Linked DNA regions of Cricetulus griseus. The protein of the gene in region 1 purifies or fractionates together with the protein of each later gene. This does not show direct contact. Links are inferred from orthologs where the notes say so. Each region holds a gene or a part of one and is shown on either strand. Other genes may lie near its edges.

Evidence for each region.
Region 2: the proteins of Gpc1 (region 1) and Hadhb purify together in Homo sapiens (co-immunoprecipitation; 3 studies listed by BioGRID and IntAct, counting the BioPlex papers as one, with this or other methods). This does not show direct contact. The link is inferred for Cricetulus griseus from reciprocal best matches to the Homo sapiens genes GPC1 and HADHB.

The regions. Positions count from the first base shown.
Region 1 is NC_048595.1:444,318,935-444,326,706, forward strand, and holds the start of Gpc1 (glypican-1), read left to right. Parts: upstream 1-3,503; 5' UTR 3,504-3,800; coding exon 3,801-3,966; intron 3,967-7,772. UniProt on the Homo sapiens protein: Cell surface proteoglycan that bears heparan sulfate. Binds, via the heparan sulfate side chains, alpha-4 (V) collagen and participates in Schwann cell myelination.
Region 2 is NC_048600.1:14,124,047-14,132,036, reverse strand, and holds the start of Hadhb (trifunctional enzyme subunit beta, mitochondrial), read left to right. Parts: upstream 1-2,969; 5' UTR 2,970-3,090; intron 3,091-7,990. Other genes in the region: Hadha (trifunctional enzyme subunit alpha, mitochondrial), read right to left, coding at 2,586-2,652. UniProt on the Homo sapiens protein: Mitochondrial trifunctional enzyme catalyzes the last three of the four reactions of the mitochondrial beta-oxidation pathway.

The DNA.
Region 1 (7,772 bases):
CATGAAGCATGTTGGTTCCACCAGCTGGGGGAGGCAGTCCAAATTACAGGAAAAAAGGGGGAGGCCAGTAGGCTGCTAGGAACCAGCAGACCTCCAGCCTGTCCCGATATCCCTCTGAACAGTCTGTCTCAACACCCTGACCCCCAGATTCCTTCAGGACTCTTCTGGAAGCTGGGCGGTTGGGACCAAGCCCTCCGTTGTTCCTCTCTTTTCAGCTCCACACTCTGTGACAATAGGAATGCAGGTCCTAGCTTCATCTGGCTTGGAGGAATACAGTTCCCCCATTTGACATGTCCCCCACCTCATTCATTTCTGCCCTCTCTCTCACAGCCATACCATACTTTCAGCAGGCAAGGACCCCCAAGACATCCCTGTGTGCTCTGCATACAGGAGCCCCAGCACCAACTCTTCCAAAACCTCTCATTGTAACCCCCTTCACAACTTCCACAGGAGGTAGCCCCAACCAGCCTGTATTTGGCATCCAATGTCCTAGGTTTACTTGTGCCCAGCTATGCTACGGCCTGGCTGAGGGACAGCTAAATTGTTGGCTGTGCTGCCTCATAAGTGATTACAGCTCTGCAGCCAAGAGCCAGAGGCAAGTAGGGCAGGGTCTGGTGGGTGCAGCTCTCCTCTCAGGAATGATGAGGTTCCAGCAGTCAGTGCTCTGGGACGCAAGACCTCTCCTCTCCCAGCAACTGTTATTCTAAATTGTAACCACTCCTTCTCCTTGGTAGGTTGGGGGCAGCAAGGAAGGAGGCTGCATAGGTGAGGACAGCTGAGCAGAAGCCACACTGAGCAGGGTGGGTTGGAGGGTGGGTAGTGTCTTCTGTTTCTCCCGAGGCCTTGTCGCCTTGACTGCTTCAGCAGAGCCCCCTCTGCCATGAGATTCCCCTCAGCTCCTGCTGTCTGGACAATTATTCCCAGCCTCTTTGCTCTTTATCACCAAGGCTCTGACAGGTCCTGCCTACCTGGTGCTGAGAGGACTAGACTGCCTATGTCCCTCCCTGCCCATTGGCTTAAACTCTGTCCTGAACATGGGCTGAGAGGCGGGCAGATCCTCACAGTATCTCCCAAAAAGAATGAAGGACCTCTGTAAACTCTAAAGACAGCACCTAGCAATGGGGCAGCTAGCTTCCTGCACATTCATATACCCCAGATGTTATGGTAAGAACTCCCACCCCCAGAGGAGATGGATGCTCTGTTGTGAGCTGGGTCTATCAAGCAGCTGGTGAGTGTCTGTTTTCGTTTGTACACGGCTGAGTTAGCTCAGGTGCCACCTAACTAGGTGGACTCTTGGGCAGCTTTCTGCCACTTTAGTCGAGTGTCCTGGTCAGTAAAAGTGGGAATAGAAACTTAACCTTGGTGTGACATACACATCCAATGGCCTCTCCCTGGGAGCAACAAGGCCACTGCCATTCTGGGTGTCATACCCTGCAAGGGAGGGGAGGCTGCTGGGGACCTGCCAGCCCCTACATGCTGCCCTCAGGCTTCCTCAGTCAGTTCCATAGCAGGCCCTGAGCTGCTCACATATCTGGTCCCTCAAGGTTGTGGAGAATCCAGTGTGGAAGAAGCATCCCTCTGGAGGAAGGTCTTGGCTGCCAGTACTGTGGCCTGAGGAAAGGTGCTATGCTGCATTTTTTCAGGTAGAATGATAAGGATGTCCCTAGGAGAGGAAGCCACCCTATACAGGACATCACCTGAGCCAGGATCATAGAAAGGGCCACCATATCCTAGAGATCTGCCTTGGGGGTCCAGAAATGGCTCTGCACTCCACCTGCCCTGAAGAACTATCTAGACTGGTCAGGTTACAAAGAGGCACGCAATGGTGGTGATAGGTCACACATGGGCCTCTATTGAGCCTCAGCCAGGTTTAACCCTGAGTCAACCCCCAGGCCGTAAGAGGCTACCCCCTAATACTCAGCCAGACCACATGGAGAGCTCATAAAGCAAACAGGAGCCTGGGTCAGGTACAAGTGCCCTACTGAAGGTGGCAGGGGCCCCAAGCTGGCCTGGTCAGGCCAGGACAAGAAGGAGCAGACCTCAGCATGCAGTGTGCTGGGATTGGTGAGTCAGGAAAAGTGTTTCAGTGCAGGAGTGTGAGGGGATCTGCTCTCCCGACTGGGTCTCCATTGCTTCTCTCAAGCAAAGGCTGTATGCATGGATGAAGGACTTCCCTGGGAGTCAGGGCAGGAAACCCAGCCTCCTGGGATGACAGTCCGATAGTTTAGGAACACTGATGGGAGGGGCATCCTGAGTGATTTAAGGGTGTTGTCACAAAAGTAAGTCCTGACTTAGCTGACTCCAAGGGCCCTGGACTCGTCTGTCACATAGGCATTATCTTATGACTCTCAACCAAGTGAGCCAGTTCGCTTGCTTTCTTCCCATTTCCAGATTCGGTATCTGGGTTCAGTCTGGCCTCAGCTATGATGGCCTCTGGGGCCTTTACCCACAGGGCAGAAGGAAAAGCAGAAAGGGACAGTGCCACTGGCAGCAGCCAAGCAAGAAAGTCCAAACCAAGCACCACCAGCCCCCAGGTGGGGTGCCAGGCACCCTCCCCTCCTCCGCCATCATCCCTGCAGCTCTGCTTGGCAGTCCTGCACAACACGTCTGGGGTTGAGCTGTCCTGCATGGTCTCCTAACTCCACTCCTTTCCAGAGGTCATCTGCCACCCTGCATTCAAGCCCACAGACCTGCCTCTGCTCCATCGCTTTTGTCGCCCAAGCACCTAAAGAATCACGAAGAGGGGACCAGAACACCCGCTGACAATCTGTAACATATAAGTCATCGGAGCTAGTGAAGGCTAGTTTTTTGGCCAGTTTCCCGCCTTCGGCCCCCTCACCCTCCTCCAAAACACATCAGATGAGAACTGGAGCCGTGCAGGAGCGGCTAGAAAGGGCGTAGGGAGGTGGGCGCTGTTGGGGGTGTGGGTGTGCAGGTGACCAGGGAAGCGAGAGACCAGGACAGAGTGGTGGAAGCCCTGAAAGAGAAAGCCGGGTACGCTTAAGGATGGAGAAGAGCAAAGGGGTGCCGAATTCGGCAGGGGGCGGGGAAACCCCTGATTGGCCGGGGAGGACGTGATGTCACGTCCGGCGAGGGAAGCCCTGCCTCAGCGGTCCCCCCCGCCCCGCCCCCGCCCCCACAGGTGGTGCCTCCGCCCTGAGTACTGGGCTTCTGGGGGAGGCACCTTCGGGGACCCTGGACTCCGCTTTGCATTCCTGGCTCCCCCCCTCCCTTCCTCCCTCCTCCCCAGCAACCGAGCCCATCGCGTGGACTGCAAGGGCCTGCACGCCTCCTCCTCCTCCTCCTCCTCCTCCTCCTCCTCCTCCTTCCCGAGAGCAGAGGAGCGCCCGGTGCGCCCCGATCGTGCCCCCAACCGCGCCCGCGCCCCCCGCCCCGCCTAGCCCCGCCCGGGCGCTCCCCTCTTCCGCGCCGCGCTCCCCGCCCCTCCCTGCCCCTCTCCGCGGCCGCCGTGGGGCCGGGCGGGCGGGCGGGCGGCGGGGGAGGCGCTGAGCCGGGACTGCGCGTTCGCCCGCCGCGCTCTGGGCGGCCCGACTGAGCGCCTGGACCTCGCGCGCCTCGCGCCTCGCGCCTCGCGCCGCAGTCGCAGCCGGCTTTTGTTGTCTCCGCCTCCTCGGCCGCCGCCGCCGCGCCTCTGGACCACGAGCGCCGCCGCCGCCGCCGCCGCGCGCGCCGGGACCTTGGCTCTGCCCTTCGCAGACTGGGCTGAACGGGCCGGCCGGCCGGGAGCGAGGGAGGGAAGCGCGCGCGGGCGGGCGGCCGGGGAGCCACGGGCCCCCGCCATGGAGCTCCGGGCCAGAGGCTGGTGGCTGCTGTGCGCGATCGCCGCGCTGGTCGCCTGCGTCCGCGGGGACCCCGCCAGCAAGAGCCGGAGCTGCAGCGAAGTCCGTCAGATCTACGGGGCCAAGGGCTTTAGCCTGAGCGACGTGCCCCAGGCAGAGATCTCCGGTGAGTAAGGGCGCGGCAGTGTCCGGGGGCTCCGGACCCCAGCACTCAGGAGGAGGAGGAGGAGGAGGTCTGCTCCGGGCCCCTGACCCCGCCGCAGCTAGCCCCGGGCGCCAGAACCCGCCACCTAGACTTGGAGTGGCCTCCTGCGCCTCCGCTGCTCTGTCCCCCGCGGCCCTCGCCCCTGAGCTCCGATCCGCTCTGTTGCTTCCCAGTTCCCAGTCTCTGCGCGCTGGAGCCCCTTCCTCTTAGCGCTGTTCTGGCCCGGCTAGGGACGAGTGGACCCCAGTGCGGTGCACTCCCTTCGGGTCAGGGTTGGAGCTGGGCGTCTTCAGCCCCTGGCTTGGCCCAATGTGCCTGTGGGGCGACAATCCCAGCTCCGGGGCAGCGTGCCTGCCGCCCTTGTGGCGGAGCAAGCGGTAGCTGTGGGGCGGTCTGTCGGGGCACAGCTCCCGGTGGCAGCGGGCTAGGAACTTCTCTATGCGGACCTCTCCCAGAGGCGTCAAGGTTCTACTTAGGAATTCCCGCGGGTCCACGGCGGGAGCAGCCTAAGTGGGATTTATGGGAGGAGATCCTATCCTGCAAGCCTGAATTCCAGGGAAATGTGAGCCCGCTGTGGGCTTCAGGCGACCCCAGGGCTCGCTGGGATTCCTACCCAGGAACTTGTGCCCTCCAGCGCCCGGGCCCTTGCGCACTCGTGGTCGGGCCGGGCACTTGGGGCCGCCTGGAGCTACGAGCCCAGCTGCAGGTGGTCGACGTCTTGGATCCCGCCCAGGGGCCTTGTCATCTCTTTGTAAGAAGAGCGGCCCTCCTGGCGGCAGCCTCGGCCCTGCAGCTGCTGGGAGCAGCCCTTCCCCTCCCTTCCCTTCCCCGCTGCCTCGGGAGCTCTGGGAACCGAATCTTTATGAGCTTGGAGCGCCGATGCAATGTCCTAAGGACCTCCCCAGCCCCAGGCTTCACCCTTCAATGTGTGTGGAGCTCCCCTGGATAAGTGCAACACCAGGGCCTTGGTGAGCAGGGAATTCCCGCTGTAGGGTTCTTCTGAAACTGAAGGGGCTTGCAGGCTAGAAGCCAAGCTCAAGTGGTACCATGGGCACTCTGAATGAGGAAAATCAGGAGTGTCACCCAGAGTGGGTAGCCTGTGGCCTTACCTTGCTTGGGAGTGGTAGTAAGTAGCCAGGCTCTGGGGAGAGACAGAACCCAGAGATACCTTGTTTGGCCCCAGTCTCTTGGCTAGCTGCCCCTCAGATACCCCTAGTACAGGCCTTTCTGTGCCTCTCTCTGCAGACAGCCCTGCTATGTCAAGGCCACACCTCCTGCACTTCTCTGGGCACTGTCCACCTGGGTGTCTGGCAACAGAAGGTGTCCTGCTTTCCCCTCCTCCAAACACACATAAATAGGAACTTAAACCCCGGGCATCCTTGCCTGCCTCTGATCCTTGCCAGACTCCAGATCCCCACACACACCAGTCTGACACCTTCCAGCCTACAGCTTCCCATGGCATGGCCAGGCCCACCCGCCTTAATGCCTTCTTGAGGAGCTTCTTAAGCGTGTACCCACCCACTGCTACTGTGCCCGTGTCAGCAGGGACTGGCAGTGTGGGCAGTGACAAGGGCACTGAGAGGGTAAAATAAGAGGCAGAGATGTGGCCTTCCAGAGATTCTGGGTCTTTCTGCCCAGGGTTGGGGAATGTGGGAGTTAGGAACTCAAGACAAGTAAAATGCGGTGATGTCTTTGTCGGCTGCGAGTACTGTCCATCCAGCTGGGATGTGTGGGTACCCTGAAGAATTACTGCTATCATACCAGTTGGAGTCCAGCATCTGTTCAGGGTCACCCCACTTATTGGTATGCAAGGCTGGGGGCTGTGTTCTTCCACCATCCCTATTGGTGCACCTCAGAAATCGTGCCCTGCTTCCCTGGAACCCCCTTGGGCTGCACCTCATAGCCCTCAGAGTGGGAGAGAGAGTCTCTACAAGCCCCAGGGCACTGAAGAGAGTATTAGCACATAGACTGAGAAGCAGGGTGGCCGCCAGGATAGCCGGAGCCCAAGCGGCAGCCAAGCTCAGGGTCCTGTCTGGTTTTGTACCACCAGACCTGGACTCCAAGGACCAGGCGCCCTCTGGTGGCCCCTGATGGCGCAGTCCTCCCTAGAGCTCTAAATCCTCTGAGCCTTTTCCTGCAGCACCGATCTAGACTTCCAAAGAACGTTCTCCTCTAAGGAGTATGGGGATCCCCCGGGGGCTAGATACCTGCTCAGGTACTACTGGAGGTCAGTGGGTGGTTGGGAGAGAAGAAGGGTGGACTATGAGCGCTTGAGTGGCCTTTTCTGCTCCTGTCTTGGGGACCAGAAATAGCAGTAGTTAACAGGAGACTTCGCTCTTAGCAAACAGCACCCTGTCAGAGGGACTGATTCCTTAAGGCACTGTTTGGTTTTCTGGGTGGCCTGTCCAGGTAGCAGTGATGACAGCTGTCCCATTCCATAGATGAGAAGCAGTCAGGGGAGGCAGCCACTATGGTGGTGTCCTCCTTCTATGCCAGGGCCCCTCAGTGGAGCAAGGCCTGGATGAATTTGTTAGGAGCCCAGTGCTGAATCACAGCCATAATCAAGGAAGCCTCTCTTGACTGGCAGGACTATTCTGGGACATGAATGTTACTAAGCGCACCCCATACGGTTAGTATGGTGCCAGGGTGTCCACTTTGGCCTCTAGGGGCAAGGACCACCCCTACTTAGTCTCTGTTGTCACCACAAAACTGATCCAGGCCACTGTCCCCAAGTAGGTTCTCAGAACAACTGCAGATGGGTACATACTTCTGCTTCACAGTCGCCGTGCTGTCGCCTGGGGAACAGAGGATGAAGGTGGCCTCCACAGAACAAAGGCCGCCTTCCTTGGGGTCTCCAACCTGAGAAGGAGTGGGGCTGGGCATCAGAAAAACTCAGAACTGCCCATCTTCTCCTGTGCCCCAAAGTCACAGTATTCCTGCTTGCCTGCCAGCATGGGTGGGCGCCTCATACCAGATACACACTGCGTACCCCCAAACCCCAGCCAAACTCTTAGTTCTCTATGTGGGCTTTGGCCTTCTATACAATAGTAGTTGAGAATCTGAGGCCCTGTGCCTGTAGGCTCTTCCCGCCTCTTAGAAAGAGTTGTCTGGCTTTCTCTAGAACCCAACAGAATGTCTCCCTCACTTGAGGTCTGGGGCTCTCAGAAGTCACTGACACATTTTCCACTCTGGACCAGAAGTTTCTGTGTGGCCTATTCCTCCCAGGAAGAGTCACCTCCTTCGTGGCTCAGCATGAAACCCAAGGTGGTCCGCATCCCCTGACGTGCTGCTAGGAGCTTGACTTTCATCATCCCCAGCACAACGGTCGGGCTCCTGTGTGCCCCAGGGAGCCATGATCCATCAGGGCCGTGTGCGTGATGCAATGGTCTGGGTCCTTGCTGTAGTGCGAAGGCTCCCAAGCTGGACAGGCCATCCTGCTTCTCCATGGAAACACCCTCTATTGGTCCCCAGGGGCTTTCTGTAGAGTCAACACAACTGCACAGTTGCTGGTGTCCATCAGCTGGGGTGTTCATTGTGGACCGGGCTCCAAAGATGCATTTCACAACCATTCCATGAGCCCTTCATGAGAGGGCCCATGTGAACATCTGGACAGAGAAAGACATCCAGGCCAGAGAGGCCACATACCTTGCATAGGGCACCATCTGGCTAATTCCAAAGCCTGTGCTAGCAGCTATACCTCCGTAGAGCTGGAGCAGACCTCCTTTACCCAGACTCTATTCTGAAGCCTCATGTTCTCTCAGCTTAGA
Region 2 (7,990 bases), on another chromosome or scaffold:
CATTTTAATTCTTGCCCACTAACCCCTCTTTGGAGTAAATACACTCCCACACACTTATACAAACCTCTTCTCAATCAGCAGAGACAAAAAGCAAAGAGAAGGAACAGTAAATGCACAAACATGTTGAAAAAGATTCCTAACCACAGTCAATTTAATCAAGCCGAAGTACCCAGTAGCTTTGCTTCTGGAATCCAGCCTTACCCAAGCCTAACAGCAAAGTTTACTCTACCTCGGTGTGAACTTTAGCCTATATTTCCAGTGCCAGCAAAAGTGAAACCTTTGCCCTACTTTTTAATCATCTTCATACGTAACTCAAGAAAATAGCTACAAGATCACATAAAACTATAATCAGTGGAAAAAGTTGAATTATGCTGACACAACTTTGAAAATGTTACTTTAGTTTATAGTAATTTATAGCTTTTTCAAAATCCAATCCCGGTACAAGGAATGGATGGATCAAGAAGTGAGTCAGATTTAAAAATACCACAAATACCTAATAACTGCCTTTCATTTCCTGTAAAATTCTTCTACTATCACTTACACACTTGAGAATTAGGAGAAATAGGAATTAAACAGATAGGAAGGTCAATTTGTGAGTTTTTTATTTGATAGTCATACTAGAATGATAGTACTATGTTTACAGCAGAAATGTTCTGAAACTTCAATAATCAGAAGGTTTACTCTTTCTCCAGGAAATGCCATAGTTCATTGGTAATGCCTGCACACACTCTCAGGGTCAAGGACTGACCTGTTGAGTCTAGACGATAAACAGAAAATCAGGTGTGCAGCTAATTTTTTGGTTGTGAGCCTACCCTTTAATGGCTGAGCCATCTCTCCAGCCCTGTGCAGCTAATTTTAAATCGACTTTCCTACTGACTACACTTTCTTAATGAAAACATAATACAGTTAATGTATTAATGTATATGTTTCTATGTAGGAGTATAGGAAAATCTGGCTGTTAGCTCTTCATCACCTATGTAAAACGGATAGATTAAAAATTCTCAGCTTTATAAAATCATTACTTCAAGCAGTGAAGAGTCAATAACATTTATTGAGAACTTATTCCCATGATAAGCTGTTTTATACCTAATGTAACTTCTTTAGACTTACATGTAATTGACTCCATTTTACCAATGAGAAAAAGATACTGAAATTAATTCCCAAGGTCACCAGAAGGTAAAAGACAGATTTAACCTACAGTCCATATTTAGTGACTTTAATTGCACCACCACACAACTTCTCCTGCCAAAGAAAAAATCACTCTCATTCATTTTATAGATGAGAACGCCCATTTAGATTAAAGCACTTGGCCAAAGTCACACAGCTAGCTAGTGACTAGAAAACACATGGGACCCGGTTACCACTCCAGTGTTGGTAATGTGGTAGTTTTGGCTGTTATATGCAATCTATGTGTGTGGATTAAAAAAAAGTGGTGGTGGTGCAGGCCTTTAATCCCAGCACTCGGGAGGCAGAGGCAGGCTGATCTCAGTGAGTTCAAGGCCAGCCTAGTTACAAAGTGAGTTCCAGGGCAGCCAGGACCCTGAAACCCTTTTTTGAAAAACAAAAACAAAACAAAAACTAGAAAAAGATTCAACTAATTAGCTTAATTAAATGTCTTGGTAAGGAAGAAAAAGGTAAATTATACATGGTACACTTTTTGTGAGGAAAATTAAAGTCTCAAAGTAACCGGTATCAAATATGATATGCAATATGCAATAAATTAAAGTTACATTAGCCCTTGCAGATTTGGGAAGTCTAGGGAAAGGGCGTTTTTCTACCACCACCCCTTTAACCCTCTCACTACCAGTCTGAAGAGGAAGAATCCAAGTTCATAGAGCCCCACGGGGCATCCGCTGGAACTCACTGTGTAGACCAGGCTGGCTTAGAACTCACAGACATCTGTCTCCCTCTGCCTCCCAACCGCTGGGATTAAAGGCATGCGCCACCAACGCCCGGCTAGAAATAGTTCTTAAAAGGATCTAATACTTCGTTCCTCAAAAAAAAAAAATCAAGTTTTCCCATATTTTAGAAATATTTCTTCCCCTAAGCTAAAGAACTTCGGTTTCAATTTTCTATACATTCATAGCAGAATTATTGGAAGTGCGAGAGTTGAGCTCTCTGCAAAAATGGTTTTGACGGTGGAGACCGGGGAGTGGCAGTGATCTGTAAGACTAGTCAATGCCACCGAGAAACTTGACAGATCTCTTAAGGTGACCTCGAAGATGAGACAGAAGGGGTCTTAGTCCTCCCGACCTACCAGGGTCGGGGCCAAGATAATCACTAAGGACAGGACAACAAGGGGGCGTGAGCGCAGGGCCACGGCAGAGAGACAGGCGCAAAGTGCCAGACTGAGTGGAAACGACTCAGGAAAGTCAGGGAGAGCCTGACACCGCCGGAGTAGGGCAAGAGGGAGTGACAGTCCCTTCGCAAGGACACCGGAAATGGGGTCCCGGGACAGTAACCCCCGTTTCCAGGGGTCCCGGGAAAGGGGTGGCAGGGAGACAGCGAGGGGCAAACGCTGCTCCCCGCCGCCCCAGTTCCTGCAGGCACTCCGAGACTCTTCCCGAGCCCTCAGCCAGGCTCACCTCTGGAGCGGAGGATCCTGAAGGCAGAAAAGCGACTGAGACTGCCAATTGCCCGTGACGCCACCATCTTGAGCAGAAGAGGACTAAAGTAGAAAGCTCTTCTAGCGGGGGCGCTGGGGCCGAGGACTTTTCTTTTCTCAGCCTGTCCGGCAGGGCGCCCGATGGACTGCCTTACTAAAACGCAGGCTCTGAGTTGCCGCTGGCCCTCTCACCCTCCTTCTTGCTCCCAACTAATCGGGCCGAAAGGATGATTTTTCTGAAGGAAGACCGAGGACCTCTGAGGAGAGGACGGAGTGTCTGATTTTCTATTCAGGCGCTCAGAGGGCAGCCGGCAAGTCCCGCGGAGGCCGCGGGCGGGGTGAGAGGGGTCCTCGCGGAGCGGGAGCCGCCCATCGGCGAGGGCGGGCGCTTGTCATTCTGGACTTGACCTTGCTGGGAGTGGCGGCTTTCTCCGTCTCTGAGGTGCGGCGGCGCGCTATTCGGCTTTCTTCTGACTTTCCCGCAGGTAGGTCCCACTTCCCTCCCGACTCCTGTCGCCCGTCCCCGCGGCCGCTTCTGCGGACAGGAGCCGGACAGGCTGCAGGCGGGGTCCAGGCCTCCTGTGCCAACCGACTCCAGACGGACGGCGGGTAGCTCGCAGCAGCGGTGTCGCCTGGCTCCACGTATCGCTTCGGGTTTACGAACTGTTTGCGCGTTACCACGTATGCCTTCGGGTTTGCAGAACGCTGGGCTGCGTCAGAGCGTTGTCGTTTCCCCTGCTTTACCTGTCTAGGCAGTACCGCGGCTGCTGAGATTGAGAACTCGTCATTAAGTGCGAGCCTTGGGTGTGGAAGGAGGCGAGGCAGTCCTCCCACCTGCCTGGTGATCCAGGGTTCACGGGCATTTTCTAACTCAGAAGGGGACCCGGCGGACATCTGGGCATCCCCACCAAAGTAGCCATAGTCGTTGAGTCAGAGTGTTAACTGGTAGCCACAAGTGGTAGAACTAGACTAGAGCCTTGCGTCTACTTCTAATTGAGAGTTCAGCTCTTCACATCCGTCGCCTGGCTGTGTCTTGTTTTCTGTGTTTTGGTCCTGGAAAGTTGATGCTGAAGTAAATGGATTGGTTTCAAAAGAAAGTCGTCAGCTTCCGGTGCACTGCACCATTTTGTTTAATACCCACTATCCTCACATTTCGATCATTTTCACCTAGCGGAGACTTGACAGGCTCAGAAAGATGATATACAATTTCTTCTTTTTGTGTGGCAAGCCCAGAATTCAGACAGAAGCGGCACTCACTAGTTAACCGATTATTCTGCAAGAGAGGAAACAAGAACTGGCTGAAATTGTTAAGGAAAGAAAGAAGGGAGCTTTCTGTTTCAGAGCTCAAGTCAGACTAAGTCTTACACCACCAACTAAGCTGACACTAGACAACCACTTCGGAGTAAATTGCAGAAAGGAGTCCTTCTGTCCATATAATAATGCTCTCTACTGCACCTGATTTCACATAACATTTATTTAGATCAGTGGTTGCAAACTTTTTGTAAAGGGCCACACAGGAAAGTAGTTTCTGTTTTGTGAGCCCACTTTGTGCTATGTCATACAGTCTTTGTTTTGTGTTGCTTGCAGCTCTTTGATTTTTGCTGTGCTAGGGATGAAGCCCAGACCCTTGTGCATATTAAACACAAACTCAACTGCTGAGACACACACTCACATCCACCCTTTTGCTTGCCTTTGAAAATGTAAAAACGGTCTAGGAATGTATCTCAGTGGTAGAGAGCTTGCTTAGTATGATTCCTGGCTTCCCTGATCGTACTTAAAAAAAAAAAATTAAAGAAAAAACACTTACTTTATTGAGGCTTTTGGGTTGTATTTTGCTAATGCCTGATTTAAAGCACATTTTTTTTTGTTCCCTGCATTCTCAGTGAAATTTTAAGTTCCATCAAGAGAAAAAAGTGTTTTTGTTTTTTTTTGCTCCTCAGCACTTCAGTTCAATGCTTAGATAGAGGAGAGCTAAGTGTGTTTGTCATCACCTACTAGTAGCAAACACATAAAGTAGCTTCTCTACACAACTCTAAAATTGTCTACATTTCACTGAAGGTCCAGAAACAGAAATGTTAAGCAACTTGTTGAAAGTCCTACAGCTAAGGTGTAGCTAGGATTTGAACTTCAGTGGGAATCTCTTCTTAACTTTGATTTTTGTGGTAACTGGCTAAGTCACCCCATTTTGGTTTTTTATGCTTTACTGGCCCTCTTCTTTCTTCCCTTGTGCCTCTATGCAACCTGCTCTACCCAGGTATTTCCAATTGAATGCCTTTTTGTCAAAATTTCTATATTTCTTTTTTTATTTTTTAAAATTTCTATATTTCTTTTTTTTTAATTTTTAATTTTTTTGGTTTTTCAAGACAGGGTTTCTCTGGCTTTGGAGGCTGTCCTGGAACTAGCTCTTTTAGACCAGGCTGGTCTCGAACTCCCAGAGATCCACCTGCCTCTGCCTCCCAAGTGCTGGGATTAAAGGCGTGCGCCACCAACGCCTGGCTTAAATTTCTGTGTTTCTGAAGCTGTGTAAATGACAACAAAGGTCAGCCATCCCATAAGATAATATAGTCTGACCCCCACTTCCATGTACACACACATTTCTCTGATCTTTTTGTTTTGAGACAGGGTCTCACTATGTAGCTCTCTGGCTGGCCTAAAACTTACTGTGTAGAGCAGGCTGTCTTTAAAGTCATAGAGAACCACCTCTACTTAAAGTGTTGGGATTAAAGGTGTGTGCCATCTTGCTTCACTCTGGTATTTTTATATTTTTAAATGTTTTTAAATTGTTATCTACATGGCATTTTTTTAAACTTATGGTATGAACTATGGGCCTTGTGTTTTCCTAACTGATTAGTCACTTCCCAGAAAATTTATTGATCAAGCCATCTTTCCTCCATTTGCTTTAAACATATTATATATTATGTTTGTCATAGATATTGTCATGATTTCTGAGGGTCAAGAATCTGTGCTACTTGGCGGGGTTGTTCTGACTTTGGAGTTTCTTAGGAGGTTGTTGTCCACACATTGGGCAGGTGGTTGTCACCTGAAGGCTTTCTTGTGCCAGAGTATCAGCTTCCAAACTCACTCATATGGCAGTTGGCAGGAAGTATACAGGCCTCTCCAGGAAGCCAGTGACCAGAAGCTGCAGCCTTTTCCATAGCTTGGTTTCAGAAGCCATGCCATCCCTTCTGACAGAGCAGTACAGTGTGGGAGGCAGTTAGACCTAGAGTACAAGAACCAAGAAAGACAGATACTGAGGTCAGCTTGGAGGCTGGCCACTACAGCCCTCCTTGTAAATCTTAAGTTTCTTACTTGCTTTTTAAGTAAAAACATGCTTAAAAGATAAGACATTGGGTCAGTGAGGTGGCTCCATGGGTAAAAGCTCCTGCCACCACACCAGAGGGCCTGACTTGAATCATGGAACTGCTTGGTAGAAGGAAAGCTGTAACTTCCACAGGTTTCCAGTGACTTGTACATGTGTGCTGTGGTGCATGCTCACTACCTCCCACATAACAACTATTATTATTTTATTAACATTTATTTGGGAAGGAGGCCCATGGCACTCATGTGGTGAGGAGAAGACATCTTGTAGGAGTTTGCTGTGGGTCCTGTGGAACCTTGTCTAGGGGCAGTGAGGCAATGAAGAAATAAGGAACACTGAAGAAATGACAAACTACAGAAAAGCTGGGGTCAGGTGGGGTGTGCATACCTTTGAAGTGACATCTACCACTATAACCTCATCATGACTGTTGTGTACAGAACTGGGGGAGGGGTTAGCTCGTCTGGGTAGGAGGTATCTGTAGGAGGTGTCTGTTGGTAAACATTCTCAGGCTATAAACATCCAGGAGGAGAAAGCTGAGGTTTCTGGCTTTTGCACACTCTGGTCACTTCATTACATTTGGACTCCTCTCCATGCCCTGCCCCAAGAAAAGCTTTGGCATCCCTCCGAGCCTCCCCAGGGCAGGTGTTGCCACTCTTACGGGGTTAAGGCATCAGAGCCTTTGGCATGGTTGTGTCGATGATAACAATACACTTCGTTTTAGGACTTTACTCACTCAGGGCTTTCTCTGCTCCCTTAGAAGTTGGTTCTCTCCTTCCATCATACCAGTTCTGAGGATAAACTCAGGTCCTTATGCTTGATGGCAAGCATCTTTGCCTGCTAAGCCATCTCATCAGCCACTAACAAGTTTTTTTGTTTTGTTTTGTGTGTTTTGCCTGCATGTATGTTTGGTCCACATGTGTGCCTGGCACCCATGGAGGTCAGAAGGAGGGGGTCAGATCTCCTAGAAGTGGAGATATGGATTTGTTGTGAGCCACAATGTAGATTTTAGTAACCAAACCCAAGTCCTCTACAAGAAGAGGAACAAGTGCTCTTAACAGATGAGCCATCTCTCTAGCCCCATCCTAACAATTATTATTTCTTTCTTCCTTTGTTTATTTTGTAATAGGTTGTCAACATACTGTCCTCGAACTTGTAGAAACCTGCCTCTGCCTCCTGAGTGTCAGGATAAAGGCATGTGCCACCATGCCCTGCCTAACAGTTGTTTTTAACATTGTGCTCTAGGGGTGTTTTATTGTGATTCAAAGAAATTAAATATTTTTTCCTCTTTTAATGGGTGATAGCATGCAATGCACACAAACAAAAACTTATTTTTATGTATGTGGTGTTTTACCTGCATGTTTGTCTAGGCAACACTAAGTGCCTGGTGCCTGCAGAAGCCAGAAGAGTGTTGGGTGTCCTGGAACTGGCATTACGGACTGTTGTAAGCTGCCATGTGGGTTCTGAGAATCAAACCCAGATCCTCTGAAAAAATAGCAAGTGTTCTTAAGTTTTGAGCCATCGCTCCAGCTCCTATTTTCTTATCTTTTATGGCTGACTACACAATATAGTATTTCACTGGTTGCTGTGGTATGGCTTACTTAACCAATTCCCTATTTGCTGTTATTTTAATCTTTTTCAATTATAGTGACAATCAATACAGGTCTTATGCATAATATCTGTCATTTAAGTTCATGGAAGTGGAATTGTTAGATCAAAGTTAAGCAAACATAGTATTGGATTGCCCAGCATAGAGTTTGCACCAGTTCACACCTTTGATGCAGTCAGTGTTTGAACTTGTATGCTCACACAGTATAGATCAAACCTTTGTGCTTTTGCTAATTTAACAGGTAATTATATCTTTGTGATTTTAATATGAATCTTCTTATGACTGGAGTCAAAGAAATGCCCCTCTCCCCTTTGTATACATGCACCTTTACTTCTTAAGACAGGGTCTTTGAATATGAACTTTATTGATCAGACCAGCAAGCTTTAGGGAACCTCCAGTCTGTGCCCTGCTCCAAGGCTGGGGTTATAGGCATGTACCGGTTTTTGTGGCTTTTTATATG